3 linked regions of the Mytilus edulis genome follow. The protein of the gene in region 2 binds, or shares a complex with, the protein of the main gene of each other region. Links are inferred from orthologs where the notes say so. Each region holds a gene or a part of one and is shown on either strand. Other genes may lie near its edges.

Region 1 (10,725 bases), on a different chromosome or scaffold from region 2:
AAAAAAAACATTTTATTTTTCCCAAGACACTAAAAATTTCATTATGGCCCTGCTGAGAGAAATGTTTTTTTTTTGTCGAGGGGAAAATAAAAATAAGAACATTTGGTATGATTGCCAATGAGACAAGTTGTCTCTCCACAAGAAACCAAATATGTCACAGAAACTAACAACTTCAAGTCACTGTACAGCATTGGAAAATAACTTAAAAGCTTCACTTACTGTTCTGTTATACCAAAAGAGGGATGAAAGATAGCAGAGAGACAGTCAAACTCATAAATAGAAAATAAACTGACAACCCCATTGCCAAAAATGAAAAAAGACAAACAGACAAACAATAGTACACATGACACAACATAGAAAACTAAAGAATAAACAACACGAACCCCACCAAACTAGGGGTGATCTCAGGCGTTCTGGAAGGGTAAGCAGATTTTGCTCCATATGTGGCACCTGTCGTGTTGCTTATGTGATAACAAATCCGGTAAATAGTCTTATTTGGTAGGTTACATTCAAGAAAGGAAAGGGGGTTGTAGTTACGACGTAAGGAACATATCCGATATCATTTGTGAAACAGTTATTCCATAACGGTCAAAGAAAAAATCTTGATCCAATTTAAAGAGAAACAAAGCTATATATCAGCTGTGTGGAGTATGATAAACATGTTAAACATTACTTGTAATTGATATCGAAGTTACTGAATGTCAAAACTAGAAACACCTGAAGATTAATAAATTTGGGGAAAACTGTTGCTTCTGGTAAACTATATCCCAAAGGAAAACGTCATTGAAACTATTTCCCTATGAACTTTCACTTCAAAGTAGAAGTTGAGGTAGCCTTATTTTAAATATTTCTAAAATAAAATTCGTCAATAAAAAAATATGATTTAATATGTGTATTTATTGCATAGCAATATCATATTTCCCACAGAAAGTAACCAAAAGTTAGCGTGCAATAAGTTCCAATATTGCACTAGTGCAATAAATCTTCAAAATTCATGACGTCATCAAGACAAAATCTTAGTTTAAACTAATTTTTACTTACAAATATTATATTGCTATTCAATAAAAGGATTATCGCATGAATATTGGGGAATATTGTCCCTCGTAGAACATATATTGCACTCGCAAGCTCGTGCAATATAAAATTTTACTCTATTCCCTAATATTCATGCAATAACCCTATAATATGAACTTTTTTGTCTCACAATATTATATATATCATGTATATATGAACTATTTTTCTGACAATATTATATATATCTCACCATTCTGTGTATTCTTCATCGTCTAAATGTTTATCTAGGATTTCCTTTACAATGACTGGAGGATTCAGGCCGTGTTTATCTGCTCTCTTCCATCTTTCCATTCTTGTTATTCCTAAAATGTACAATGTATGTAAAAGGTTAACTTTATTGACTTTATGTGGTATGTTGAACATTGGATGATGAAAGCTATATTAGAAGCATATTCTTTTTCATGAAATAGACTATGAGTGAAATTACCTAAAATAAATAAGATTGGAATTTTCCACGAGACACAGATGATGTATTTTACACTATAAAGGGTCATAACTCATTAACTGTAAAAGTGATTCTACCTAAATTCGTGCTTGGTCTGTGGTTTGTGGTAATAAGTATTGGGTATAAGGTTCATAACATTTGAATGAGACAAACTGAAGTTAGGGAATAGAAATGAAAAATTTGTTTTGGTAAAGGGGCACAACTCTAGAAAGGTAAAAGTGAACCCCACCCAAATTCAAACTTTATCTGTCCTTTTGTGGTAATAAGTATTGTGTATTAGTTTCATAACATTTGGTTGTGGCAAGCTAAAGATAGAGAACGGAACCAATTTCGGGATGTATGAAAGTAGGGACAGATGTACAGTTGGACAAGGGTAAAACTAAATACCCTCTCCACTTCAGGGGCAAACAAATATGAATTTGTTTAATGATGGAATATCATTCTATAAAACAATATATACCTGAACATGGACCAAATTCTAATGTGACATCAAAATGCCTCAGTATTTTCAATTCATCTTCTACATCTGTTTTACTTGTGCTTGGATGGCCATCTGGAATACAAAATAAAGATAATGCACATGTGAAAATAAATCAATGAAATTCATATCATTCAACAAAAACTTAATACCTGGACATTTTTGTAATTGTACATGTTCAACTTTTGCTGTTAATATTTTCATCTCAACTGGTCTTTTTGGAAAATTACACTTTATATACTTCTGTATTAATATGAGTTAGAATTTATGACTAAAATCAGCATAGACCATCGAAAGAACATCTGATTCAAAAATTTAATAACACTTTTAGTCCTTTGGGTGATATTGGATCTCAACAATGATTTCAGTATGTACACTAAAGAGATTTATCCTGCCTACCTGACCTTAAATAAAGCTAATACCATGGAAGTATTATATTGACAGTAACTCCAACGAAAAATTAGCACATTCCCATCCCACTGATTTCTTTAAGAAAATAAAAGGTTCCGACTCAGTTTGACAAGTTCGTGATAACTCCTTTGTGGGGTATCTGTGATGCCACCTTCGCCTGTTCTTTTAACTGAAGCTGGTCTTATCACTTGATTTAATATTGATTGTCTTATCTACCTACCAATGTAAATAAACACGGAAACTCCCGTGGTTATTTGTTAATTGCCACATAAACAACAACACCTGTTTCCGTTCAATAAATGAAGAACAACGCTGAAAAGATCGAAAAAATTGGTCCATATTTAACAGAATGACATAATAAAATTAACTGCATTCGGAAAAAGGGCAAGCTTATTTTTAGTTTTGTTGAGTATGTTTTAATCATTGGAACTTGGAAAACAGGAAATATCCGATTATGAAAATTACATGATTCTGAAGTAAGAGTGGTAACAGAAAATAATGTGATGCGCTTGTAGTGTGCCAGATGGTGCCAGATAACTCAAATTTTAGTTTAAAGATTGTAAAATTTTATCGAGTGTTACACAAATATTTATGGTTTTCTCTATCGTAAAATGTTATTAACTTATTTATCAAATATGTTTTAAAGACTAAAAGAGGTTAATAATTACACACATGTGATGACCTCTACATAGCAATATCAGGTTACGAGACATGCAGATGAATTGTTACACCTTTTATGATAATTCCAAAGTTGTAAACAACCTTAAATATTCAACCTAGTCCGAGATTACTCGATCTGACGTCTGACAGATTTATTTTTAAGGATGGCTTTTAATATTTCTGGATGCATTTAAAGAACGATCACCATGATGGGCCCTATGCAGTTTAATTTTTTTTTATCATGGAAACCAAATTAGAATTTATTTATGTGTTTAAAAGCTTAACAGTTCTGAACTGTGACATCTTACACTGTATGCTAAGCAATTTATGTTTCTGTTTCTTGTTTAATTGCATGAAATATTTGCCATTGGACTTTTAGTAAACAATAAATCAAAATATTTGATATTTTCTTCGGATCAAAGCTTTTTAACCCCGTCCCCCCGGCCAACTTTTGGATTAAATTTTTGTTTGAAATTCTTTCATTAAACACTTTATTAAAATATTTGTCAAAGTTAGCAGTAAAACGCGATAATAATTACTGATAAAAACTTTTCCTTTTACTTTACATGAGAATTTTATGATTTTCAAGCCTACCATGTATATAACAGTTACGCATGTTTAGTCAATGGCTCTCTCATGAATAAAAATCTTACTATTTTAAAATTGATTGCAACTTAAACTGAAATGTTTATGGCTTGTGAGTATTTTTACTCTTCAGTTTTTTTTTTTTTTTTTTTTTTTTTGGTGAAAACAGTCGCGGGATTTCGTTTATTTTCTTTTTATTTGTTTTTAAGCAGCAAATCCTGTAAAAACTAACATATTTGTCATTCACATGGTCGGTAAATGTCATTTCCTTGAATTAAGTACACATCTGGTTATTTCGGTATGTTCTGTAATTACAATCATTCACAAGGTTCCAAAAAATTGATCGGAACCCATGCATCCATAAGACATGTCAAGTTCATTATAACAGATACTTAACGATTTTGCGGCATCGCACTATAAACGTTTGAAGTCCGCTTGTTAGAGTTCCTGTCAATATAATACTTCCATGCTAATACTAACAATGAACACTGCCCTTTCCTGGATCTTGATATCTATATCCTTAATGGGAAGCTAAATACCAGTATTTATGATAAAAGAGGTGACTTTTCATTTCCTAATGTTAGTTATTCATTTTTAGAATTGTCACCATCTTTTGGTGTTTATATATCTCAACTTGTTAGATTGTGTATGTAACAATATATATGTACAATTTGGAAATTAGTATGGCGTTCATTATCACTGGACTAGTATACATGTATATTTGTTTAGGGGCCAGCTGAAGGACGCCTCCGGGTGCGGGAATTTCTCGCTACATTGAAGACCTGTTGGTGACCCTCTGCTGTTGTTTTTTATTTGGTCGGGTTGTTGTCTCTTTGACACATTCCCCATTTCCATTCTCAATTTTAATTATATGGTTAATTACATGTGTACATATACACTATTACCAGCTTACCCATTTACCCAAGAATCTGTCCTGCTTGAATTATTGACATCATACAACAACCACTTTTCTATTGTGGTGTCAGATATTTTGTATTTTCATGTCAACATTTTACAGGAACTTGTGTGATGTCCAGTAATGGCGGACACATAGCGATAAGGTGTATTACAATAAATGAGTTAAAATTACCAATTTCTAAGTTGGATTACATTTCTGAATCCCTTTTGGGATCCCCTGAGTCAGTAGCCATTTTCTGATTTGGTCACTCTCAAAGTGGTTAAATCAAAAAATTGCTCTGCAGTCAGAATCCCTAAAGGGGTCTATCATTTTTTATATGCTTCTAGTTTTTATAATTATCAATATATTTTACGTATATATATAAATTCAGCTTTTAAAATACCATTTGTTGGTTCCTTTTTATCTTTTCCTTTAGGAGTCTTGACAGACTTGAAAGAATTGGTAATGAAAGAACGTGTTGCCATTTTCATTGTTCTGCTTCTTAGGTTATGTTTACAGGTTATAACTTGACACTTTAATTTGCAAACTCAGCTTCCTTCAAAAGCGAAAGTAGGTAATGTTTATCTCGGTTTATCTAATGCTCCAAATATTAGACGAAACGAAATTGGTGAAATCTCTATTTTTAAGATAAAAGAAAATTTTAACTTTTTTTTTAAAATTTTACATGTTAACATATTATATATGAGAAGAATTGAATTATGTTTATCATGAATAGGATATAATTTTTATAAAATTGTGTTTAATAATTTCAAAAATTCGATTTTTATTTTAAAATCTTTAAAATTGAAACGATCGTAAATCTTCGGCGATATCCACACAAAATATGAAAAAGTAAGAGGAATATCGAAAAATATTTTCCAACTCATCAGCATGGCGGATTCTGCAGAAAACTCAGTACCGGCGTTAGCAGTTACTGCTGCAGTTGGAGCTGTAGTCCTATTATTCGTTCTTTTATGCAGTGTCGGAAGACGTGCAGACAAAAAGGATGAAGATGGTATTATTTTATTTTTGGGCTTAAGTGATAAAATTGAGAATACAAAAAAATATGGAATTTTACCATTAAAGCTTTAGCTTTATACTCATTGAGAAGAAATTTGAACTGTTCAAGTGCATTATTCTTACTTAAAAACTATTATTCATGCACAGTTGTAAATGCTCTTTTGTTCCGACGTTGGAAAGAACTAGCCGAAAAGTTCCGAAGGAACTTATTAATTAGTTACTTTGTTCTTCCTCTGGTTTAAAAGTTCTCCCGGAACAAAGTGACTAGTTGAAACCAACGGAACATATCAAGCAGTTAGCATGGTTAGAAAGTTCCTTTTTGCCAAATTAGTCAAAACCGGAACTAACAAACTAGCCCAAAAGTTCCAGCGGAACTTATCAACCAGTCACAAAGTTCCATTTGGAGAATTGGTGTAAAGTAAAAGCGCAAGATATTATATTTGAACCTTTCAAAGTGGAACCAAGATACTGATTACAAAAGTCAAAAGGAACTTATCAACTAGTCGCAAAGTTCCTCTTTGGCAAATCAGTCACAACCGGAACTAACAAACTGGCCCAAAAGTTCCTCCTCATATGGGTACTTTTAAAAATATCAATTTCAGATTAATGTATGAAAATAAATTAGAACTTATTCCGTTATGAAGGCAACATTCTGACCGAAGGAGCTAGTTGTTCTGTTCCACCAGAACTATTCAACTAGCTACATTGTTCCGAGACTTTTCAAATAGCTACTTTTTTCCGGAACTTTTCAACTGCACTCGGAATAAAGTAACTAGTTGAAAAGTTCAACCGGAACAGAGTAACTGACGGAACATAGTGGCTGTTACACAGTCACTGTGCAAGATTAGGGCAAATTATTAAAATTATGTTGACAGATACTTTTTTTAAAGTTCATCATAACAAACGCACAAATATGGCTGTATAAACGTGCCAAAAAATTACTCTGAGTACAGACTTACTTGTGAAGTTGGAAAAGTTTTAATGCCTAGCATCCACTAGATATATAAAATTTAAATGCATTTTGTGTTTCAGCATGTTCAGAAAGATAAAATTTCTTTTGGATTTTGACGGGCATTTTATTCCCCTCGTGCATATGGTGTGAAAATTAACTAAGTTGTGGTACAACTTTGAGATGCTCCCTCAGGTAAAAAATGGGTTTGTATTGTTTTGATTGTCCTTACTTGACATGGACAAGAGGTATCTTCACAACTACAGGTGAGTAAAAAAAGAGTTTATCTGAGTCAGTGAGTGGACAGTATCAAAGTAATTCAGGTGTTTGTTTATTTTTACACCTTCTGCAGAAAGGAAAAAAATGCCCATCAAAAACCAAGAAAGATTTTATCTTTCTTAAATATAAAATGCATTTTACTTTTATATATCTAGTGGATGCTAGGCCTTAAAACTTTCCAATCAGCACAAGTAAGTCTGTACACAGAGTAGTTTTTGAGGTGAAAATACAGCCATATTTGTCCATTTGGTATGATGAACCTTAACTTTGGTCACTGTCATGATGGTATCGACTATCGGGTCTGTTCGCCCTGATTACACTTTCGCCCTGGGTCCATTCGAACAGGTACTAGGGCGAACACGAATCAGGGTGAACCAACCTGGATTCCTGTCAAGACTAGGTGACTTGAAGTGTCATGTAAAATTGTTGTTATGTCAAATTCTTTATAAAAAAAATATGCTTATTAGATATGTAACTTAAAACAACCACTGAAGAGTTTCCTCATGTTGGGTAGGCAGATATATACATAGTTTGGTGACAGGTTGTATTGTTTTTTTTAACAACATTTAGTTAAACAACACTATCAATAAGAATATGAAAATAAGAGACCAACATGACCAAGGCAACTTTTAATTCCTTAGATTGATGAGTGAATTTTCTTCTAATACCTTTCGCCCCCTTTTAATTCCTTTACTTTTATGAAGAGATTTTATACAGCCACATCATTACAATATACAACAGGATGATATGAATTTGTGCAATACAGAAAGTAATTTATGTACATTGTATCAGGGCTTCCAAAACGGTCATATATTTTGGACAATTGTATTCTGTCCGGTAAAAGTCTGGCTGGACAAAGCATGAAACGATCATCTAAAAATATAGTATATATACCAATACCAAGGGTCCGGAAACGGTCATATATGCCAGTCTTGACCTAAACTGAAAGTATTTTGTCCTAAATGAGTAATTGGGATTTAGGACAAATTTTATTTTTTTACAGAAATAATTTCGGTCATTAAATTTCATTTCGTTGAGATCGAGTTTCCAACATTGTCTAAATCGCCATTTTGAACTTTTTTTTGTTTGTTATCCCTTTCCTGTAATAAAACTGCCACTCCAGTAAAGTGTTATAATCCTGAGGGCCCTCCTAATAACTATAGTAATGCCTCTGGGAAATATTGGCTAATGATCGCTAATCTAAGACTCTTTACCTGTGTTTTTAATTAAATTTTTTATTGATCACAAGCTCAGAACTAATAAATGAAAAGTTCATAACAACTGTCTGCATTATTTAATTACTTTTCTCAGCTTAGACAATTGTCAATTCTGATTTAAAATTAAATTAAAATTAAATTAATTTACGTAGAACAAAATATTGTTTCACTACAAACACATGTGCTTTGTTTACTAATAGGCAATCTTGAAATTCTCTTCCACAAAAGACACTAAATCGTAAATTCAAAATGATTTCATGCTAAATTAAACAAGTCCAACTATTATAATTAATATTCAAACACTATTAAAGGTAAAACAGTTAAAAAGCCGACGATTTCCTGTGAATTTGATAAACAAAACTAATCCCGGAAATGAGTCCGTAATTGGTCGTTTTACTATTGTCGTAAAACATCCGGTTATAATTTTGTCTTCAAATCGAAAGAAACGTAAGCGAAGTTTGAGAAATTTATCGTTTTGAGTCATTAAAATCATTTCATTTTTAAACTGTTGCCTTCCTTTTATTGCTCAAGATTTTAAGGAAAATAGTAGGGAAATTTCTGAAGTAAATGCGGTGCAACAGTTAAACAAGTTCCTTGATGCTACGAGTATGACTGTATGAGCATACACACAATCTTTGTTTGAAAAAGGGCACCAACTTTTAAGTTATCCAAAAATGACCGAAATTAGGTGAAAAAATTTCCGGACCCTTGACCAATACACGTAATTAACAGCGCCTGGTGATGTTTTATAGCCTGACCGGTTTCGGTCCGAAAAGGACCTTCATCAGAGGCAGAATGATGGATTAATGTTTGCACCCTATTTATATAGATATGGTAACCGGCGGTTGAGTTATCCAGCAGTTAAGATTTAACTGGCGGTTTGTTTAACCCGCGGTTGAGTTAACCAGTGGTTGAGATTTAACCGGCATTTCAGAGCGAACCGGCGGATCAAAGTTATCCAGTGGATAAATAAGTATCTTGTTGATATCTAAAAAGGTTCAATTAGCCATTCAGTTGGGATTTTCCATGGTTACAGTTATCTATATTTAGCTAATGTACATGTTACAGTAAACTTTCTTTACATGTTACGGTAAACTTTTCAACATTATACGGTAATCATGTGACCTGATGATATAACCATATTTGGGCTTTAGCATTGGGTAAAGGGTGTTTATTTCAGGACTTGATATTCAGGTGTATCATAAGCCTGAGATCAAGACTGCATGACTGCTAGGAAGTACTATTTCAAGACTTGATATTTAGGTGTATCATAAGCCAAATATCAAGATCACATGACTACCATGACATACTATTCCAAGACTTGATATTTAGGTGTATCATAAGCCAAAGATCAAGACTAAATGATTACCATGTACTTCTTAAATTATTTAAACACCCTTTACCCAATGCTAAAGCCCAAATATGGTTATATCATCAGGTCACATGATTACCGTATAATGTTGAAAAGTTTACCGTAACAGGCTATAAAACATCACCAGGCGCTGTTAATTATGTGTATTGGTATATATACTATATTTTTATGCTTTTACATTTTTCTCACTGATACACATAGTTAATATGGCTTCTACTAACGAAAGCTCCATTTGGAGCTAATGTGTTTAGAGACTACTTATGTCAGTACACCTTTCCTATATTGCCCATGAAACGATCATCTACTTTTTAGTTTTCATGGCTTTCTTACTAGACGTTCATTTTAACATAAACACAATCTTTTTGACCCAACATTTTGCCTTTAACAGCCACACATTTCCGGTCATAAAAGTGACAGATGATTAACTACTATCAAAACAGCCTCTACTTAAATACTTTCTAATTTTAATCAAGGCTAATTAGTTAGCTGAAATCTACCTGTTCAGGTGACAGGTAAACTATTTTCTTACATTTCAGCGGTTTGTATCTAATTGATTTACAAAAATGTAGTCTAAACATGCTAAAAGAATAAAATTCTAAGAAATATGTTTATAAACATGATTTGACGAAAAATTCAATAAGGTTTTAAATGAAACAATCGTCAGAACTACGTTGTATGAACTAGAACATGTGTGCGCATGTGCACAGGTGGGAAATTTAATTATGTATCCTACATTTCTTCAAAAATTCAAAAATTATCTTTAGTACCTGTACCTTACGTTCATTTCAAGTATTTTGTTGAAGAAATAACGTGGAAAGAGCTTCTTCGCTCAGTCATGCTTTGTAAACGTACACTGATTTAACATATCCGTTTCTGGTCCATGTTTTAACACTGTCAAGTAAACATCCGGTATTACGAAAATGTGATTTTAAAAAAGAAAGTAAAGTTTTTGACAACGTCTTTTGGCACAAATAAAGAATCTAAGTTGGGCAGATATGATCACGCTTTGCGCACACTTCGAATGATGCACTGCCAATTTAACAGTTTACGTCAGAACATCAAAGTCATATCAAAGTAAAGTTTAATATCGTTTTTTCAAAAATCATTGGGATGGCCATCTGATTACCATAATTGCCTTTTGTGATTTAGTCTTAAGGGATTAAAATCGAGATCAGATATAAAATGTACGGGTGGCTCAAATTATTTTTGGAAGCCCTGCATTGTATCTATGTAATCAAAGAAATGTAAAGAAAGGAAAATTATAGTATTGTGTTAAACTACTAATGGTCAATATTGTGAACTATCTTTTGATTTCAGAACAGAAAACAGGAACTGAA
Region 2 (10,842 bases):
TTTATAAAATTGTGATTTTACAACCATGTTGCATGATTAGATAGAACAACATTCAAGGCTTCGATTACATAATAGAAATCGGGAGTTCAAACTGTTTTAATGATAAATATTATAGCCTGACATAACGTCCAAATATCCTTCCTTATCAAATAAAAAGTAAACCTTTTGCAGAAATTCAGTTTTGAAATTGTATGTTTGACATCGTTAATTTATTGAAATATTTATATCAAACGCAGTACTAGTTGATTAGTTGTAACAGAGAATACACACCATTGGTTTGAAAAATGATGTAACTATGACCTCCGTAGCAGAGTTAAAAAAATATATGGGTCACTGAATATTCACAATATATTTCAGATATGGTCTGTTGTTTTGATGTCAAAGATTATTTTATTTTCTAAACTTTTCTTTCAAATTAGTTTTAATCTACAAAAAAGTGAAAAAAGTAAAAACATTGCTTGACTGTACCTTAAGTTGAATATCTATATCCAAATTCAATTAATTAAAGCTGTAATCCATGATCACAAATTGAATGCTTTGTTTACAATTGTTGAAAGCCATGTGCTTTTTGGTGGGAAAATTTGGGAAACCCCTCAACTGGAAACAGTTACATTTCATTGTTATTTATAGACAATAAGAATTTCATTTTTTTTAACTGCTTACATTTATTCATGAAAAATTAAGAATTTCTTGGGATGAAAGTGACAATATTTTTATACTCTACATCTAGAGGTGTGTAAAATGGAAAAGGGGGAGGGGGGCTGCCTTTTTAGTTTTTTTTATATTATATTACAAACACAGATTATTTTGAGTGAAAATATAGGTCTGGCAATGTGATGGGTCTGGCAAAACTTGGTACCCTGTAGGCCCCAATGTCTGACTGGGAAAAAAAACTATTTGCATCTCTGAAATAACATTGTAAATAATCTTATATTGTTTGAAAGTCTGACAAACGAGAAATTCAATGTACATGTAGAAATGTCACCTCGATTCTTCCTTGTACTATAATATCATAAAGTTTAATATATTGCCCTCATTACGGTACCTGTACATGTGTTCTCTAACACTCTTCACTTCAAACTACAAATAATATAAAGATGTAAAATGTAGTTTTAATTAGATATAGGAAGATGTGGTATGAGTGCCAATGAGACAACTCTCAATCCAAGTACCAATTTATGAAAGTAAACCATTATAGGTCAAGGTACGGTCTTCAACACGGAGCCCAGGCTCACACTGAACGTAATGAAAATTATTAGTCTTGGAGTATTCAGTGTCTCCTTCATTTAAATTTTTTTCTTTAAAAATAATGAAATTTCTTATGTTAAACATTAACACTACTTTATACTATTGAGACTTTATACTATCGATTTATTTATTTTTGTGTGTACCAATTTTCATTGATTGCAGGAACCTTGCATTTTCATGGATATGTTATTTTGTGGTTCTGCCAATGTCTGGATACAATTTTAAAAGAATTGATATTTTGTTGCACATTTAAATTCTTGATTCACCTAGCCGGCCTGTACCCACGAAAACCACAAAAATTGGTATCCAATGAACGGTAGGTTCACCCACAGGCACTAGACGTTCTGTCAATAGCATGAAAATATTGGCAATGGGAAGAAAATAGTGTCCATATATATAATATATATGGACACTATTTTCTTCCCATTGCCAATATGGACACTATTTTCTTCCCATTGCCAATATGGACACTATTTTCTTCCCATTGCCAATATTTTCATGCTATTGACAGAACGTCTAGTGCCTGTGGTTCACCATCGAACACCCGAAAAGTTTATTGTTTTGTCTTTTATCGTTATAAATGTGATTTAAATGTTATATTTAAGGTATTAATTCAACAAATCAGAAGATTTAGAGTCCAAATATCTAAAGAAAACAGAAAGGAAGAGTCTTTAACACCCCACTTTCTGAACTCGCAGGCCCCCATGGACACCACAAATATATTTTTTCTTCTTTTATCTGTTCTATAAAATCGAGGATACTTGAAATGATTACTAATTATGAATATTTTATTTTAATAACACACACAATGTAATCCAGAAAGTGATGAATCTGGAGACAGGGGCGTAGCTAGGTATTCAGTCAACTGTAGGCACCAATCGGCAGGGGGTGTGGGGACCGCTTAAGGCCCCCAGCAGGTCCAGGGCGTAGAGGGTTCAGGGGGGCGAAGCCCCCCGACGGAAAACGGTTTTCAGCGTTTTAGCTGCAAAATTTGATGTACAAAAATATTAAATTTACTGGTTATTTAATCATGATAATTATTATATACATGATGAAAAGTTCGAAGAATTATGAATAATGTACCATAACATCTGACTGGTGAATTAAATAACGCAGTACAATCCGTAATATAAAAAAAATATTTACAAAATGCATTGCCCAGCGTAAATCAGCGTATCCCTTTAATTAAGCAGTACACCCTGTTTGGTATTATCATATCTATTCCGTTCTGATTGATATATACGTTTAACTTAAATTATTATAGTACATATTGACGATCCTTCATTAAAAAAAAAAAGGAACGTTAACACTAATAGAACTATCCTTTTGGCTAGACATCAACCATCAATCTTTTGAATTTTAAACCTTCACCCTAGCCACACAAACATATACAGACATAGTCAATGCCTAACAAAATTCAAGAAATTCGTAATCTTTATATCCTCTACTGTAAAATCCCTACCTGCTTAGGAATTTTGAATAATTGTGGCCATTACACGCAGATTTGAGTACTCAAAATTACAGGAAACCAGTTGATTGATTGATTTCTTTACATCCAGTGTCAAATATTTATGCAAGTTCAGGACCGTTGAAATTTTTATTTACAATAAATAACACTTGGAGCTAGGTCCTGTAATAGGTGTGGTCCAGGACGAAGGTCTGGAAATTTAAAAATGCCATGCATTGGAAAAAGAGGGATTATTGGATAGGAGCAGAAATTTTGCCTTTCAGTAGAACAACTACGAATTCCTCAAAGAGTTGCATTCTCTCTACAACTAGGCATCGGATTAAATGTCCCTATTCTGACCAAACGTGACTGCGTATTTATACATCCTGCACAGCCAAACAGACGACCAACATTGGCAAGTCGGGTGAAGACAAAGTGGAAAGCTAGTTGAAAACTAACAACAACTAATTAAAATTCAATTCTATCCAATATTCCATTCACTAGTCTAAGGACGAGAGACTAGTGTACACATGACATTCGATAATTAAAGAGTTTTGACAACTTCACCGGCTTTCATCTACAGATAACGTTGTTTATTATTTTTTTAAATAACAAAAAATATTTGTGAAAAAAATATGTGTAGGCACCTGCCTAAAGTGCCTAACGGCAGCTACGCCCCTGGGAGACGTTTTTCAATGATCAATTTTAACATAAATATGATCCCAAAAGACCCACCCTCCAATGAATAAAATTGTAATAAATCCACAGCTACACCTGCTTACCCATCCTTAGATTCTCTGTTTTTCTGGAGTTTGTCTTGCTAAGTAGTTTCAAATGTTGTGTTTTGTTTTTTGTGTTTGTTTATAACTGTGGATTTGGATAACAAAATAAATAACAAAAGTCATAGATCTGTGAATCACTACAGGCAGACTTCAATATAATACAGATCGGGACGAACTAATTTTAATCTTTTCTTGTTACACGTATTACATGGTGTATCTAAAAGTGATTACGACTACTCGTACTCAGTCGTTCTCGTTACTGTCTGTTGCTAAACTGAAAGTTACCACAAATCAGTCATTTTATCAGTTGAGAGATGTCAGTGTCTAGTTATCCCAGTGCATCGTCTGGTCTTTTAAACTGAACATTTGATAACTGAAATGACATATTCCATTTGCAAAAATATCATCACAAATAAGATTGAACAAAATATTATTAATCTAATAAAATTAAATAGAAGTTACCCGTCGTCATCAAAAAATAAAAATAAAGCGGGAAATCATAACCGGAAGTAAATAAGGCTGCGATACAAATTAAGACCAAACAAAACTTTAAAATAAAATAGACAGAAAGGGTAAGTAAGTAAGTAAGTAAGTAATGACTTTATTTACAGAGGGTGACTCAATTAGCTTTCGCTAATCTACCTTGAGGCCCTCACAAAGAACAAACAGTACAAATATTACAAAGCTTACAGTTTCTAACATATTATGTAAATGCACTATTCATACTAACTATAAACTGTCTGTAGAACAAGAGAAAGTTATATATAACCAAACATTTTTTATAAGGGCAAAACGCAAGTTCTCTTACCAATTAAAATTTCTGCTATACCTGATGATAATACTATTCCGAGGGATTTGATCTTTTTATTCATTTTAACCTTGCGTCTGAAAGAGGAGGTCGTAAAACTGGGAATGCTCACGGTGCTTCAGTGGCGGATCCAGGGGGGGGGGGGGTTCCGGGGGTGCGCACCCCCCCCTTATTTTTGCCGATCAATGCATTTGTATCGGGACATATGTTTTGCACCCCCCCCCCCTGCACCCCCCTTTGCCCTGGGTTAGCACCCCCCTTTCGAAAATTCCTGCATCCGCCCCTGGTGCTTGGTGAAAGAATCATGGCATATATATCTTATTTTTTAGTACAATTTTTGTGATTTTTATTTTAGTTAATATAACTTCATATTACTTTAAAATGTTCACTTATGATTGTATGTGTTCTTGTTTTTATCAATAATATTTTACCGTCAATTGAATCAGTAGTTTTTATTCAGAAAATTGTCATAATGTCCCTATACTTTTCAGTATTTTCCATCAATTAAGCCTGGGGTACATTCCCAAGACAAGTGCATGTAAGCTGAGATTGATACATCAACCCATCTTTAGATCCTAGATTGTATTTACTTTATATTCTGAATTAGTTATCGGTCATTCATCAAATGTAGGGAGAATATTGTGTTTCAAGTTGCTCAGGGCAGGCTACTATATTTTCCATTTTTTTTATAAAAACATGTTTTATCAGTTAGTTAATTCAACTTTTTTGTTCTTGTTTTCAATTTTATCAGAAACACATTATTTTTACTTCTTTTTTTATCTCAAAGGAACACGTTGGGTTTCCCCCCCCCCCCAAATTAAGAATCTCAGAAACAAGTCTATGTTTAAACTATAGTACGTGGTTCGTTGCCAATTCAAAATAATAAGTTACATCTTGCCTAAAAGTTGTATACGCTTCAATAATATTGAGTGAATAAAATGAAAACATATGTTATGACTCAGTCTGTCACCTGCGTTTTATATGCGATTCCTAAATGTCACGGTTATGGATTTTGCAAATGGAAAAACCAACGGCAAATTGAGTAAGAGAAGGCAATAATTCCACACTAATACAATTCTGATTTCTAAAACAGCGTAAAAAAAGATTATTTTAATAAAAAGTCGTTCGGCACATGTTATATAGCAAAATGTATCGACTCTATAACATATTCCCCCTTTTTTTGCCGATACACTTTTTGAATTAAGATCGCATCTGTGAAAATAAGCGAAACCTTTATATTAGCAACATTAACGAGGGGAGGTAGGAGGGGTCCTGATGCCGAAATCCCGGGCTTAAAAACACGAAATCCCGAGGTCCCGAATTTAAATAAATTTAAATCCCGACATCCCGAAATTCGAAAAAAGTATTCCTCGATCCCGAAAGGGTCAATCCCGTAATACCGAGCTTAAAAACACCCGATCCCGGAGTCCCGATAAAGGTCCTACCCCCCCCCCCCCCCCACCCCCACCCCACCCCCCATGAACTGTGACCTATCTAATATTTCATCTTACACCTACCTAAAAATTTCAACAACAAGAGATCCTTTTAAATTAGTAGAAAGTCATAAGTTTGACGGGTCAATTTCTGACTGTATCAAATAGGTGTACTGTAAACGCTATCAAATAAGTAATGTAGATTAACATCTTTTGAATCTAATCCAGTCTGATCACACACATGTGGATAATTCTGTGAGTTTGATTTCTAACCTTTTAAGACAAATCTGAACTCGGATTCTTAACTGAAAAAGTCGATGCGAGACAAACTCATGAAACTGTTATGGTCTACTAATGGAATATCTGTTCCACAAATGACGACGGATATGTTCCAATAGTTGTAACCTCAATCATGATTCTCTATTCCAAAAAATGTGGCCTACCAAATCAAATTTATCAACAGACTTGGCCATGGATATGTGAGCAACACGACGAGTGTCACTTGTGGAGCAGGATCGTCTTACTCTTCCGGAGCACCTGAACACTCCCGGTTTTTGGTGGTGTATTTCTCAGTTTTAGATTTCTGTTTTGTTGACTGTTCTCCGGGGCGGATACAGGATTTTAGAAAGGGGTGGCGAAATTTAAAAAAAAAAATTGGGACCTTTTGGGGGCTAAAAACATTAAATAAGTGTAAAATGCACATTTTAAACGATTCTTTTTTGGCATGTTTATTTTATAGTTGCTGTAAAGTGTAAGGGTTGGACATTTTTGATGCTGTATTCTCCCTATTAATTGTTTATCATAAAATGATAGTATGCATGATCCAAAGCTATGTACTGCTATATTACATGTGGGACTTGTCAGTAAAAAATAGACATGGAAAATTCTCGTTTGTTGTATGTTAAGTTAGAATAACCTCACAGATTTCTTGTAAACCAGATATACACCGGGCTATTCGATGGAATTTACAATACGACCGACTCGATTTAAGAAAGACAAACAAGCAATTTTTATCCAAATGTTTGGTTGATATGTTTCACACAACAAAATTAAGGGAAGTGAGGGGTTCCAAATGCAGTTTGGTCTTGAAAAAAGTAATTAATATATCAGTTCGGCGAAACAGACATTCCAGTCACACATGCAAACCCCCGCCCCCCAAAAAATACGCCCGTTTTTTTTATTCATCATGTTTATTCAATGCTACATATTTCTGTTGGAAATTTTCGTTTCTAATAGCAAAAAAGTGGACAAGATTATTGTTTGGGGATCATCATTCAGCCATGTTATTTCTAGTTAAAATAGGCTTGGGCGTTTGGGGTTACACATGTTTCCGTAGGTAAAAAATATTGCTGTGGAACTTTTTAACATGAAAGTGTAATAGAGTATAACTTTCTGTCTCGTGGAATTGTGAAATAGAAGTCAATATGTTCTTGCTCAATCCTGTTTTGCTTTGAAGATGCATGTCATGATTGTCATCCTCAGTCTATCCATGTGTTACTGTAATTTGAGTTTCAACTGAAACGACTGAGTAACGTTTTTACGGCGAACTGGTCAACTCCACCATAGCGAATCACATGAGTTTGACATAATCAGTAAATACCAGCAAAAAAGATCATTATAAGTAAAGACTTGTCGCATAAAAAATAAATACACGGGAAATGGCAAAGTTCTCGAAGTCTTGTCTGATTAATCAGTTTACAAAAAGGGGGCGTACGCCCTCTACACCCCCTTCTGGATCCACCACTGAGTATTATCTTTTGCTGGCATTGTTAGGTCCGGTTTCGACGTATAAGTTAGACTTTTATATGAAATCTTGCACCTCAATTTAAGTGTAATGTAGTCAAACGTTTGCGAAACGCATTAGAAATCTTTTAAGTATTGATATTCAAAAAGGGACTCGGATACTGAGGTGTTTCGTGCAGTCAGTATGGTGTTGTTAGAACCTTCGAATATCCAAATGAGTTAAGCTTCTTGGAGTCAGTTTTTTTTTTACTGTAGACTCAATCTTTTTCTAATCTAATTTTTCCCTTTCGTGCACTGTACTATCTGCACATGTATTTCTTTGTTTGTATGCTTGACGATTCACATCTCCTTGGGGTCAATCCTCAAATTTGAAAAATTAATAAATTGAGAAAGATCACATCATTAAGAACATGTGTACTAAAAGAGGGACGAAAGATACCAAAGGGACAGTCAAACTCATAAATCTAAAACAAACTGACAACGCCATGGCTAAAAATGAAAAAGACAAACAGAAAAACAATAGTACACATGACACAACATAGAAAACTAAAGAATAAACAACACGAACCCCACCAAAAACTAGGGGTGATCTCAGGTGCTCCGGAAGGGTAAGCAGATCCTGCTCCACATGTGGCACCCGTCGTGTTGCTTATTAAGTTTCAAGTGTTAAAGTTATACTTCAACTTCATCAAAAAGTGCCTTGACCTAGCACTTAACCAAAAACTTTAACCTGAAGCGGGACAGACAGACGGATGAACAAATAGACGCACAAACCGAGAAAAAAAAACATTCTGCCCTTAGGTTTGGCATAAAAAAAAGTCTCCCACAATTAATTTTTCATAATATTTTAACAATCACCTCAGCGAAGGTAGCAGGCTAGGGAGAACAGTCAATTCGTCCCCCAAACATTAGTTTTTAGATACAGCTAAGAATGTTAAATTTGAGTATCTGCATATCATATACATGTAGATTGATAATAAATGTTGCTAGATTAACATCCAGTGGCAAATATTTCAGGCATATTCAGGACCTTGTTAGTTGATACACCATTCGAAGTGAAGAAGAAACACAATATAGTTAGGTAACCTTGGCCTACATTTTAAACAAGACTAAGTACAGTGAAAGCACACAACTTTGTTAATTTGTGGTCAGCTTAACTGTCTATGAGGTTTTTTTGAAGATTTCAAAAATAAATGATGTTACTGATGGCAACTTGGAATTTTTTTTTCATTTGCTCTATCTTACACGTAGTAATTTTATTATGTACTATAACATGTAGATTTTTTTCCCATGACAAAAACTGTGGGTCTTTTCTAGAGGTGGCATGAATCAGATGTAGATACTAAAACCAGGTGCTCCGCAGGGCGCAGCTTTATACGACCGCAGTGGTCGAACCCTGAACAGTTTGGGCAAGTATGGACAAAACATTCTAGCGTGATACAGCTCTGAATTTGGATTGTGATCAAATTTTTGACATTACATGGTTTTTTTTTTTACACAAAACAAATGTCAAGATTTTACAAATTTTATAATTAAAGATTTCTTCTTCAAACTTTTTAAATCTAAAATTAAATAGTTGACACAGCATAGGTTTCTGACACAGAATGAATGTGGTCTAATGAACTTAAAAGTTTGTTTTTGCCTTTTAGCAATTCACTATACTGTTGAATATTAATGCTCTCAAAAAAATGTTTGAAGAAATTTTCTTTTTATTTATGAAATCTGAAATGAGAAAAATTTAACCCCCCCCCCTTTTTTCACATCCCCATTTCCCTTTTTCCAAAACTGATATCAATTCAAATTTCTAATGGAGTTTGCAATAATAACTACTCTTTTAAATACATCATAAAATATTAAAATGTAAAATAAAGTGCTTGTTATCACTGAATGGTACAGATTGGTTGGTAGTAAAAGTGAATATACATTGTTTATTGTATAAATCAATAAAAAAAACTTCATCAGCAACATTTTATATTGGCAAATTTCCAATGAAGTTATTTACATAAAGTTATTGGCAAATAAAAATAGAAAATGACATCATAGTCATGTCTGGCAAATGTCCAACATACATTATCTAAAAACATTTTAGATAAGATAAGGAAATAAGATGTAAAAAAACTGCTTGTTATCACTGAATGGTAAAGATTATTTTAATTTATCAGTTGGTAGTAAAAAGTGAATATACATTGTATATTGTATATAACAAAGATTGAAGTTGATTCTGGACAAAGAAAGATAACTCCAATTAAAAAAAATTCTTGCTATTGCACAATATTTTGCAATTAGATATTTCTTGCTTACTATTCTGGACAAAGAAAGATAACTCTAATTAAAAAAAAATTGCTATTTCACAATATTGTGCAATTAGATATTTCTTGCCATTGCGCAATACTATGCAATTGAAAAGACTTGCTATTGCACAATACCTAATATAATAATTTTAGATCCTGATTTGGACCAACTTGAAAACTGGGCCCATAATAAAAAATCTAAGTACATTTTTGGATTCAGCATATCAAAGAACCCCAAGATTTCAATTTTTGTTAAAATCAGACTAAGTTTAATTTTGGACCCTTTGGACTTTAGTGTAGACCAATTTGAAAACAGGACCAAAAATGAAGAATCTACATACACAGTTAGATTTGGTATATCAAAGAACCCCATTTATTCAATTTTTGATGAAATCAAACAAAGTTTAATTTTGGACCCTGATTTGGACCAACTTGAAAACTGGGCCAATAATCAAGAATCTGAGTACATTTTTAGACTCAGCATATCAAAGAACCTAACTGATTCATTTTTTGTCAAAATCAAACTAAGTTTAATTTTGGACCCTTTGGACCTTAATGTAGACCAATTTGAAAACGGGACCAAAAGTGACCAAAAGTTAAGAATCTACATACACAGTCATGACAGTTAGATTCGGCATATCAAAGAACCCCAATTATTCAATTTTGATGAAATCAAACAAAGTTTAATTTTGGACCCTTTGGGCCCCTTATTCTGTTGGGACCAAAACTCCCAACCTTCCTTTTATGGTCATAAACCTTGTGTTTAAATTTCATAGATTTCTATTTACTTATACTAACGTTATGGTGCGAAAACCAAGAAAAATGCTTATTTGGGTCCCTTTTTGGCCCCTAATTCCTAAACTGTTGGGACCTAAACTCCCAAAATCAATACCAACCTTCCTTTTGTAGTCATTAACATTGTGTTTAAATTTCATTGATTTCTATTTACTTAAACTAAAGTTATTGTGCGAAAACCAAGAATAATGCTTATTTGGGCCCTTTTTTGGCCCCTAATTCCTAAACTGTTGAAACCAAAACTCCCAAAATCAATCCCAACCGTTCTTTTGTGGTCATAAACCTTGTGTCAAAA
Region 3 (10,440 bases), on a different chromosome or scaffold from region 2:
GCTGAATTTGGTTAAATCATGAAATCAAATATCTACAAAGTACTCTCCAAGTTGATTTTTACACCATTATCTGAGATTGCCTAAATCTGACTAAAATTTATTTATGAACTTTTTAACTGAGTTTTACTGTGTGTATTATTGTGTTTTTTTCTACATTGGCTAGCGGTATAGGGGATGGTTGAGATCTCAAAAAAATATGTTTAACCCACGCTGCAGTTTTATGCCTGTCCCAAGTCAGGAGCCTCTGGCCTTATGTTGGTCTTGTATGATTTTTAATTCTACTTCATTTATATATATATTTCAGAGTTTAGTATGACTTCCATTATCACTGAACAAGTACACATTTTTTTAGGGGCCAGCTGAAGCACGCCTCTGGTTACAGGATTTTCTCATTATATTGAAGACCCATGGGTGGCCTGTTTTCTGCTCTTAGGTCATGTTGTGGTCTCTATGACATATTCAACATTTCTGTTCTCATTTTTATTCTGTACCAGTTTTTGTTAAGTCAGTTGGTATACCTGTCATGTTCAAACATAGGTCTCTGTATTTGTTCTGGTAACTGTTGGTAACAGAAATCCTCCACTTGGAACTTTCCTCTGTTGTCGTCTGGTTCTACACCATACAATGCAACAATTACACCTATATAAACAATGTGAATATTTTAACTAGTTGATCATGCTACATGTACGTATTAATGTAATTCATGGTGTGTTTTTTTACATATTTTGGTCAAATAATAGATTGCAATATGCACATTTCACAGATTGGGCAACTGGATGAATTTGGATGTGATAACATAAATAAGTTGAATCTTTTATACAACTGTATACCTGCCATCAAGAGTATACCCACAAAAAACAAACTACAAAAACTGCTCTTATCTTTTCAACAATGCACTTTTATTTAACATTTAAAATTGTTAAAACTGTTTTCAAAAATAAACTAAATAGTTAATTCACAATTCAATGATCCTGCTAGTTGCTAGTTGGCATCTTATTTTCCTACAACTATCTCAGAAAGTATTCACAAGCATTTAAATTTCTAAATACCTGTCACTGAAGTCTGTATATCTAGTTTTCCAATTAATAAAATTCTTTGTAACTCATCTTCAAGGATCAATTTATCATTACTATCTGTGTACTTAGACTTAATTGGTTGAGGCATCAAATTATGCTGAAAAAAATACATTCAATACAGTGTAACCTTTCTAATCTGACACCTGAGTATTGCAACATCCTGCTTTAACCGACACATTTTCATGGTCCCAAAATATGACTTACCTCGCAGAAAAAACCTAAGTATTCCAACACCCTACTTAATTTGATATTATTTTCTGGTCCCCCAGTGTCGGATTACACATGTTGCACTGTACTCATTTTTGTGTATTTTAAACCTGTAAGGGTATATCTTAAAATTCCATTGGACTAGTGATTGGAATACAAGTCTCAACATGACCCACTTCAATTTGACTGTGAGAAAACAAAGATATTAATTATAATGTATTCAATCTCAGCAAATGTGTATCAAAAATTAAAAAAAAAGCCTACTTGATGTACATAGTATTTCTGTCTTCATTTCTGCATACAATTCATTCTGCTGATGCAGATTTTGATGCTCAGTGATGAAATGTATGATATAATTACTGTGGCAATATGTAGCTTTTCAAAAAATGTATATAGTATCATTCGCCTAGTTATTCTTTAGTTATTCAAATTTTGCTGCATTTATGGGCAACAGTGAAATATTGTCTAACAACATGAAAAAGTAACCTTAATTTACAGTAACTAGAACTAAGAATGAACTCATAAAAGGATAACTGCACTGAAATACTTAAAATATATATTATCTCCCCTTTAGCTTGAAGCAGAGGGAATACATCATTTAATACACCGCTTTAAATATGAGCTTCAACTAACATCCATCAAGCCGTTTGACAGAAGTAGGCACATTTTTTAAGCTTGGTGGTAATCTGATGAGTCAAGCATTTTCCAACTGTTTGTTTGAAAGTAGTAATGTTTCACCTCTGTACCAAGTTGTGGGAGGTACAATGTATGACTGCTCACCATCACCTTTAACTCGCCATATTATTTAAGTGCATGTCCAAAATCAGGAATCTGTATTTCAGTGGTGGTCAATGATTGCTTTCTGCTATATTTTTCTCTCGTTTGTTTTAGCATAAACATGATAAATCAGACAGTTCATTTTCTCTTTTGTTGTCATGCTGGAGCCTTTTTAAGCTTACAACATAGAATATACATATGCTTTTCTCATAGTTGAAGGCTGTATGTGGACCTACACCAAAGAGGCAGTACTTTGTACTAAACCATACTTTTACTCTGCTTAACAAGAGTTTGGTACTGCCTAATTTAGAAATTAATTTTCATACAAGATATTCATAGAGAACATAGAAAATTTCTTGATAAAATCAGAAACGTACCAGTCCACTTAAACAATAATGAAACCCTCCGAGTCTGTACCTACATGTATATAAACAAATGTACAATATAGACAACAGTTTTGATCATCTTTCTAAAACACAAAACTTTATTCAACTAGCTACATTATATGCCATTACCAACGTTTATTCTCACGTTTAAGTTTTGAAAGTGAATTTGATGTACTTGAATTCAATCAAGTCAATTATACCTCTTCACTTAATTCTTTCAGGATACTAGGTCTAAGTTCCATGTGCTTAAATAGGGTACCAATTATAACACATTTCTCATCACTTTGCAACTCATGCAACTTCTTTATATTTACATCTTTTCCTACAAATAAAAATATAAAATACATGTGAATTCATATACAGTTATCCAATCTAGATTAACTTAAATGGTGAACAATTGTTTAAACTGATTCATGGATTTTTCAAGATTAAAAAAATATTGAACCAAGACTTTTAAAATTGGAATTAGAAATGTGCAACCCAGTCTGCACTGAGATGAGCAACATGATGGGTTCCACTTGTGGAGCAGGATCTGCTTACCTTTCTTTGGCACAGGAGACCTCCCCCCCCCCCCCCCCCCCCCTGTTGGTGAGGTTTATGTTGATCAGTCTATACATGTAGTTTAATAGTTCTGTTGTTTTGTATACTGATTTATGTCGCTTGTTAATTACTTGCCATTGCATTGTCCATTTGTTCTGCACTTATACAAGTTTGATTTATACCCAGGGTTCAATTATATATATGTGCTAAGCAAGTAAAATCTAAGATGGGCAAGTGAAACACATCATGGAGTTGTTCCCTGGGCAATATGAAATTTTGTTCTGGTGTATAACTAAGGTTAGACATTGATTTCTCAGAGGTGTTTAATTATTGGATAACTATTATCGTTTTCTTTATTTGTTTCATATGCATATGCCTGAAAAATCATACACATCGTTGTTTCCCCCACATAATTCTATGTCAATTCCCGTGTGTAAGTCAACATGCGACAATGTTTTATAATGATGAGCACCACCTGCACAGGGATTTCTGCTAGTATTGGCCATTGTTGGCGAAAGGGAGTAAATACAATGTACAAAGATCCAACCAGAATGGGTTTTGCAAACGACTTTTCTGTTGAAATATAAATTAAAGTAGAAAGAAAATATGTCAACTGGTTCAATTTCTACATCATGTACATGTACATTTGATTTTTTTTTCTTTTTTATTTAAAAAGGTTAACTTTGTTTAAAAAAAAATGGTGTTTGAAATCATTAAATTATCTGCCAGGAGAAATCAAGAATGCAGGATTTGGCTTCTGACAGTTACCCCTCAGCTTCCCCACTTGGCCCTAGACCCCCTGCAGTAATTACAACAAGCTTTGCGTGAATATACATATTAATTAATGTTGTGATGTTGCACGACCAAAAGCATACTTATGAAAGTGAAAAGCGTTTCAAAAATACAGAACAAAGCAAAAACAACAACTCAGAAGGAGAAAAAAAACAGGAAAAATGGTGGCTTCTCTGGCATGTTCAAGTTATTTTTTACCCCACTTTGATTTAGCAGCATCCACTACTTTGTCCCTCATACTCCACAACCGTTCAGCATATAGATGAGCATATTGTCTTGAAAAGTTTTTTGATTTCAATCGAAATCTTTCCGACAAATCTTCATATTTACAATCAGATCGAACATAATCTGCATCAGATGATTCTGTCGGTTCAGTCAGTAGTTTTCCAACATTTGTAGTGCCTTTTTCGGGATTAAGTAACATGTTTGTGTGCTTATAAGAATAACAACTCTAGAAACTGAAAACATTCCCGCCAGCGGAACTCTTTAACGTGAAGGTAAATTCTTTGCATGATTTGACAACTTACCCCAAAAATGAATCAAGCAAATCAAAGAATGCAACGTCCAAAAATGAGTCCGACTATATTCAAGATTATTATACACCTTCTAATAATTCCTGTTTGTTTACTAAGTAATTGATAATTATGAGGATTCATCATTATTAGGAATATATAGGAAATATTAACCATTTTGGCATATACAATGACCTACAATGTATATGCAAAGGACACAGTGAGAAGCCATCTCTTAAAACTGTTTTCTTGATAACTTTCATACTGTGTTACACTGTTTGTCATAATGTGCAGTTGCCCATATTATTACACCCAAGTTTTTGAATTTTTTGCATGTGTTATAGAAATTTCATGGAACAATTTTTGGCTGTACAAACTGTTTCCACTTATAAATTTTTCACCTCTATGCCTCTTCCCACTTATTCTCAGATCCGGACATCCTGGCATTTAAATTTTTCAAGGGGTGATGCAGATAGGATTTCTCTAGATTTTTCATCTATTTGAAGGTGATAACTGATTATTTATATTGCTTATTATTTTTTAACCAGAGGATATAGTATGATTAAAATCAAAATAGAGACATTATATAGTGTCTTTAACAATATTAAGTTGGTAAAAGTACTAGATTCAACTGGTGTCAATATATATCAATTAAATTAATTTGCATTGAAGTCTATGGAAAATCTAGAGGATTCTTATCCGCATCACCTCTCAACATTGTTTACATAACACAAATGCTAATCATTGATTGGTCAGTTACATGTTGTGATGTCAATGCAGATCTGAGAATGTCTATACATAATCACAAGTCAAATGCTTACATAGTTTTTTTTTCCCACTTTGTAACATGATCTTATATTGCTACATTTAACTCTTTTAACCTTTCTTATCAAATTATAATAAAATCCACTGAGACTAGAAACAAGAGATATGGAGTATACACAGGACACTTTTCTGAAACATATACTACATTTAACTTATTCAAATACTGAATAACATTTTCATTTTGTGTTTTATTATGAGGTTTCAGTTGCAGGATTTTTTTGTTGTGTTTAAAACCCATTTGTGGTTTTTGGCTGGTTTCTGCTCTATGGTCGGGTTTTTGCCTCTTTGAAAAAAATCCCCTTTTCCAATCTCAATTTTAATTTTTACAACATATGTGCTAGATATGCAAATAGCAGCATTTGAGCATATGTGAAAGTGGTTTAATCCCACTGTATATTGTAACAAGTCAGGCTATCTGAACCAGTTACACTATTATTTTTTTTTAGAGGAGTCAGATGTTTGTGTTTCGTGTGGTCTTTTGTTCTGCCTAATATTTTTGGTGATTCCTCGTAATCTTCTTATGTTTTATTTCATATTCAATATTTCTATGGCTTAAATAAATCAAAACAGAATACAAATTGTTTATGTTTTATTTTTGTGCCTTTATGCATGTCAAAATTTAAACAAATATATCAATACAAAGAAGATCAAAGAAGAAAGAGTAGATCAATTCTGTGTCAAAATAATAAATAAACTCATGATTTTGTTAACATCAAGTTAAACACATTCCTTATAAAATTACCATTAAAACTTACTTACAGCCAAACTGGAAAAAAAAATCTTTAAAGAGGAAACAAGAACAAAAAATATGTCCTTTCAATCAATTTTGTTTTTCATTGAGTTAAAGAAAGCAAAAATTATGTGTCCAAAGTAGAAAATAGAGATCCATCATCATATCAATCGAAAGTTACTTTTTGAAAGACAAGGAAATTCAAAATATTCAATGAGTTCTTTTTGAATCATGAAAAACTGTACCTGAGAATTACATTTTTTAGACTTATAATGCTATTTGCAGGTTTGTCAAAGATTACACAAGGAGGAAAAGCAATATGCTTATCTCACACATTTTTTAGTTTTGTTTAACCTCTTCAATCAATTTATAAAACTGTAATTCTGATAACATATAGAGACATATTTTCTGAATAAAAGAATCAAGAGAATCAACATTTTTATATTTACAGTAAATAATACCTTTTAAAGAAATGTACAACTATAAAGAATAAATAATGTCATTGCAAAGAAGTTGTTTAAAGAGAGAGAAAAAAACCCACATCTTTGATAATCTTAATACATTTGTCTCCGTACACACACACATTCACACCATTTATTTGTAAAGGAAGACCATTCAAAGTTAATATTTCCAGAGTTTTGTATAGAGACAATTTTTGTGTTACCAAGATTCTAAAATGTGCATCTACAATATACTGTAGATTCAATATTTCTTAAAAAAATATTTTGTCTACAGATGAATAGCTGACACAAATCGATATACTTATCAATCATAATATAACATCAAACCTATCCTATTTAATTTTTATATTAAATACATTTTGATAAAGTGATTTATAAGATAAGATAAAGGGATAAAGAAACATAATCTTTACTTGTTATGAAAAAAAATCAACAACACATTACACACTAGAGTAAAGGGAGGTTATTCAATGCTCAAGTTCTTTTTAAAAAAGTATTCATTTTACAGCTGATTGCAATGAGCGTGTAGATAAAGGTAATATCTTTGGTTAGCTAGCTTGCTAGCTGAACCATGAAGTCATTATTAGGTTAGGTATACTTCCCTCCTTTCAAAGTAGTCCTACAGACAGATAAATTGGTTATGTCGGCCTAGTCTACCTCTAAAGGAGGGTAGTTTACCTGACCTAATAATGACTTCATGGTTCAGCTAACAAGCTAGCTAACCAAAGATATTACCTTTACTGACACACTCAATGGAAAAAGGCTGTATTACTTTACTGATTGACTTATTTTGACTTCTTTATGACACCATAACTTTATGATCTGATAAATAGCAAATATTAAATATTACATCTTAATGACACTTTAGATTCTTTATGCAGTTTATACGATAGTGAAAACAATAATGCTGGCAGTTATTTTGTCTTCTATTAATAAAATATGAAAATAAAAAGAAGCAAGCAGTTACATCATTTCATTTAAATGTGACAAGCAAAAAACAAGAAAAAAAAACAAAGGCTAAAAAATAACAATTGAAGACAAACCAAGCCTAAATATCAACATATGTAATTAAACATTCAATGAATGTCCTTAACCATGACGATGAATACATGATAATGATATATAGGTATATACAAATAAATTATCAATGTACAATGTCTATTATAAATGTGATCGGATAAAAATTACTTATATATATATATATATATATATATATATATATATATATATGTTATATATATGTTATAAGATTCCAGACAATAAATTAAAATAAATCATCCTATTTTGTGATGTTTTCCCTCTTCTTAAACATAACTTTCGGTGAAAATATTGTTATTACTACAGATCTTCTTGTGTTGCTATTGATGTCATGATCAGTTGAAACCATAAATAATTTTAATTCTAAGAGATAAAAAAATTCTGACATTCTATCTATTTATGCGACTGAAATCCGAACATAAATTCTCAAGAAAAATTAATAACTAATATCCACAAACAAAAGGTCATTCATGATATATATTTTTAAAGTATTCTCATCATATTTTGCAGTAATACATTTGAAACCAGATTGTAAGTTGAAATCTGTTGGATTCCTTCCTTTCTAAGACTCAATCACCATAGGAGAAGGGACCATGGCAAGGCATGATTATAAAACAAATGAAAGCTACTGAGATCACAACCAATTATCGCATTATTGTTAATTCACATTATCATTGATCTATATCTATCATATATCTTTGTTGTTCCTCATTATATTGGAATTTTATCTTTTCATTACCTTATAATCTATTCTTAATAATTTCACTGAATTAAATAAAATAATTCTAACAACTATATCTCGTACTACTTTGTAGAGAAAAACTGTGAATCAAATGTTGCAAAATAATTTTTCCATCAGAAAATTTCTATGATTATCTCCCTTGTTTCTTAATTCTTAAAGCCTGTAGTGTTTATATTCTTTTACTCTCTAAATTCATGCTTATTCATTAAATGAAAATACAGAGTTCGATTTTCAACTGAATTTGTATTGTACTACATTACCAATAATTTCTTTAAGGTGGTACATAACACTACAGGGAGATAACTCTGTAAAATTCAGCTGAACATTTTAATAACATTCTATTGTTAGGAAATTTTTAGCTTCTCAATGGTCATTTTTAGCATTTGTCTATATCCAATAAGTGTGTGATTCAAGTTTTTTTTAATTTTTATATTTTTGTCAAAGGGTCCAAGTGAATATTTTGTCAAAATTCTTTGAAAATTAAACCAGTCAAATTAATTTTAGTCAAGGTGTTAGGTACCATCTTAAACATTATTGAGACTACAAATTATAATCAGACCATGAAAACTGATATGAAACGACAGTTCTTGGTTCTTTCTAGTTACATCACTATAATTCTACCATATAACAAACTAATGATACAAATATAAACAAACATAACTGAGTATAACAATTAACATGAGGCAGAGTTTTCTTATAATATTGCAACTGTCTCCATTGTGTAACAAAAATAACAAAAAAAACACAATTATGGTTTTATTCTATATACTAAACTAATTCTAACAGTCAGCAGTTATTAACAGAAAACTTATCACTATACTAAATTTGTGGGTAAAATTATTATACATTGTTTACCTCACAATCATTGTTGGAATTAGATTGCCAAAGACAAGGAGAAAAACATCAGCTGTTTCATGAAGGTTATTAAGAAATTTTTGCCATTACATGTGTATAATGATTTTTGGAAGTTTTAGTATATTTATTATACCCAATTTAAATTATATTTTTTTCATTTCCTGATATAAATATGAGGGATTCTTCTTTTTAAAAACCAACAAATTTTAAATAAAGGTACAAGGAATATGGAAAATAAGGTATTAACAAAATATCTCTTCAATATAAACATCTTTAACTTATCCAACAGACATATATTGTTGCATCATCATAAGCTAGATAAAAAAGTTTGCAGAACTTTCAATTTCTTTCTCCCATTTGAAAGATTTGATAAACTCCAAGAAATCATTCTGATAACTAAAACTGTTGACACATAGATATATCTCTCCTGCATGTTATTTTGATAATACAATGTATAATGCAAATGTTGATATCAAAATGGCAGTACCTTAATATGTGAATTATGCTAAACATTCAGGGATTGGAGGTGCAACACTATTTAATCTCTGTGGAAATGAGAAAGGAATGCTCTTCACAACTGTATACCAAATATTATTGACTTCTTATAAGTGGCACTGTTTAAATTGACCTAGGTAAACAAAAATTTTACCAAGTTAACTATGCAAAAGTTTCAAGCCAAAGGACCATCATTAGATTGCAGGACCTATTAATCTTAATTGATATGAGATGTGCAATCCTACTACCATTACCAAATATCTTTGACCTACCACTTTTCTTAAGCTGACCAAATCATAAACACTAGCATTGTTGACAATACGTCTAACAGCATACATTAGCATTGCCTCCCCAACTTGTTTGAGTGAGACAAAAAGTTAGTAAACAATGCCATAAGGTCCCTGCTAATTCATATAAGGCTGACATAAAAGATGGCCCAACAAGAAGAATAAAATAAAATTAGCACTATCCTGTATCAGCAATATACTGCATATTTCACAATTTAGATCAAATTCTTTCACTGAAGCAATATTTAGTTAGTAAAAAACTTTTATACATTCAAGTTTTATAACAAAATTGAAAATATGTTCAAGGTATTTAACTTTAAAGCTAAAAAAATTAAACTCTGGCAAGAAGACATTTATCTTGATATCATTCATTAACTGGGAAGCAGAGATCAGGAATGAAATTCATGGTTTTAGTGTTAACTTCAAAATTATGTACAGGTTTCAATTTTTGTGTGTACTCTTTTAAAATGTAACATGTAATGAGTTTTAAAACACTTAACAGTTACTGTAACTGAAAATACATTCAACACAAGTCCAAATCATACACAGAATAAAATAAAACCTAAAATCTGATGTGTGAATGTCATTATACAGCTATGTCATCATACAGGTATCTTGGCTCCTTGTTGTGGTGGTACAGAGCCTCCTCTGCTTATTCTTTTAGCTCTGCTGTAAAATAAAAGAAAAAGAAAAGTAAAAAATATGTAATGATTTTTT

What was found.
Region 1: DNA polymerase delta catalytic subunit-like (region 2) and DNA polymerase delta subunit 4-like share a complex: the UniProt entries of both Homo sapiens proteins name them as parts of the tetrameric DNA polymerase delta complex. The link is inferred for Mytilus edulis from reciprocal best matches to the Homo sapiens genes POLD1 and POLD4.
Region 3: DNA polymerase delta catalytic subunit-like (region 2) and DNA polymerase delta subunit 2-like share a complex: the UniProt entries of both Homo sapiens proteins name them as parts of the tetrameric DNA polymerase delta complex. The link is inferred for Mytilus edulis from reciprocal best matches to the Homo sapiens genes POLD1 and POLD2.

What each region holds. Positions count from the first base shown.
Region 1 is NC_092349.1:58,947,146-58,957,870, forward strand, and holds the start of DNA polymerase delta subunit 4-like, read right to left. Parts: upstream 5,149-10,725; 5' UTR 5,043-5,148; coding exon 4,955-5,042; intron 2,073-4,954; coding exon 1,980-2,072; intron 1,377-1,979; coding exon 1,265-1,376; intron 1-1,264. Other genes in the region: transducin beta-like protein 2, read left to right, coding at 5,443-5,566, 10,706-10,725. UniProt on the Homo sapiens protein: As a component of the tetrameric DNA polymerase delta complex (Pol-delta4), plays a role in high fidelity genome replication and repair.
Region 2 is NC_092350.1:57,671,214-57,682,055, forward strand, and holds the start of DNA polymerase delta catalytic subunit-like, read right to left. Parts: upstream 3,998-10,842; 5' UTR 3,940-3,997; intron 1,079-3,939; exon of another isoform or gene 1,046-1,078; intron 1-1,045. UniProt on the Homo sapiens protein: As the catalytic component of the trimeric (Pol-delta3 complex) and tetrameric DNA polymerase delta complexes (Pol-delta4 complex), plays a crucial role in high fidelity genome replication, including in lagging strand synthesis, and repair.
Region 3 is NC_092352.1:36,391,952-36,402,391, reverse strand, and holds the start of DNA polymerase delta subunit 2-like, read right to left. Parts: upstream 4,280-10,440; 5' UTR 4,203-4,279; coding exon 3,977-4,202; intron 2,769-3,976; coding exon 2,647-2,768; intron 1,174-2,646; coding exon 1,050-1,173; intron 640-1,049; coding exon 519-639; intron 1-518. Other genes in the region: nuclear distribution protein nudE homolog 1-like, read right to left, coding at 10,326-10,392. UniProt on the Homo sapiens protein: Accessory component of both the DNA polymerase delta complex and the DNA polymerase zeta complex.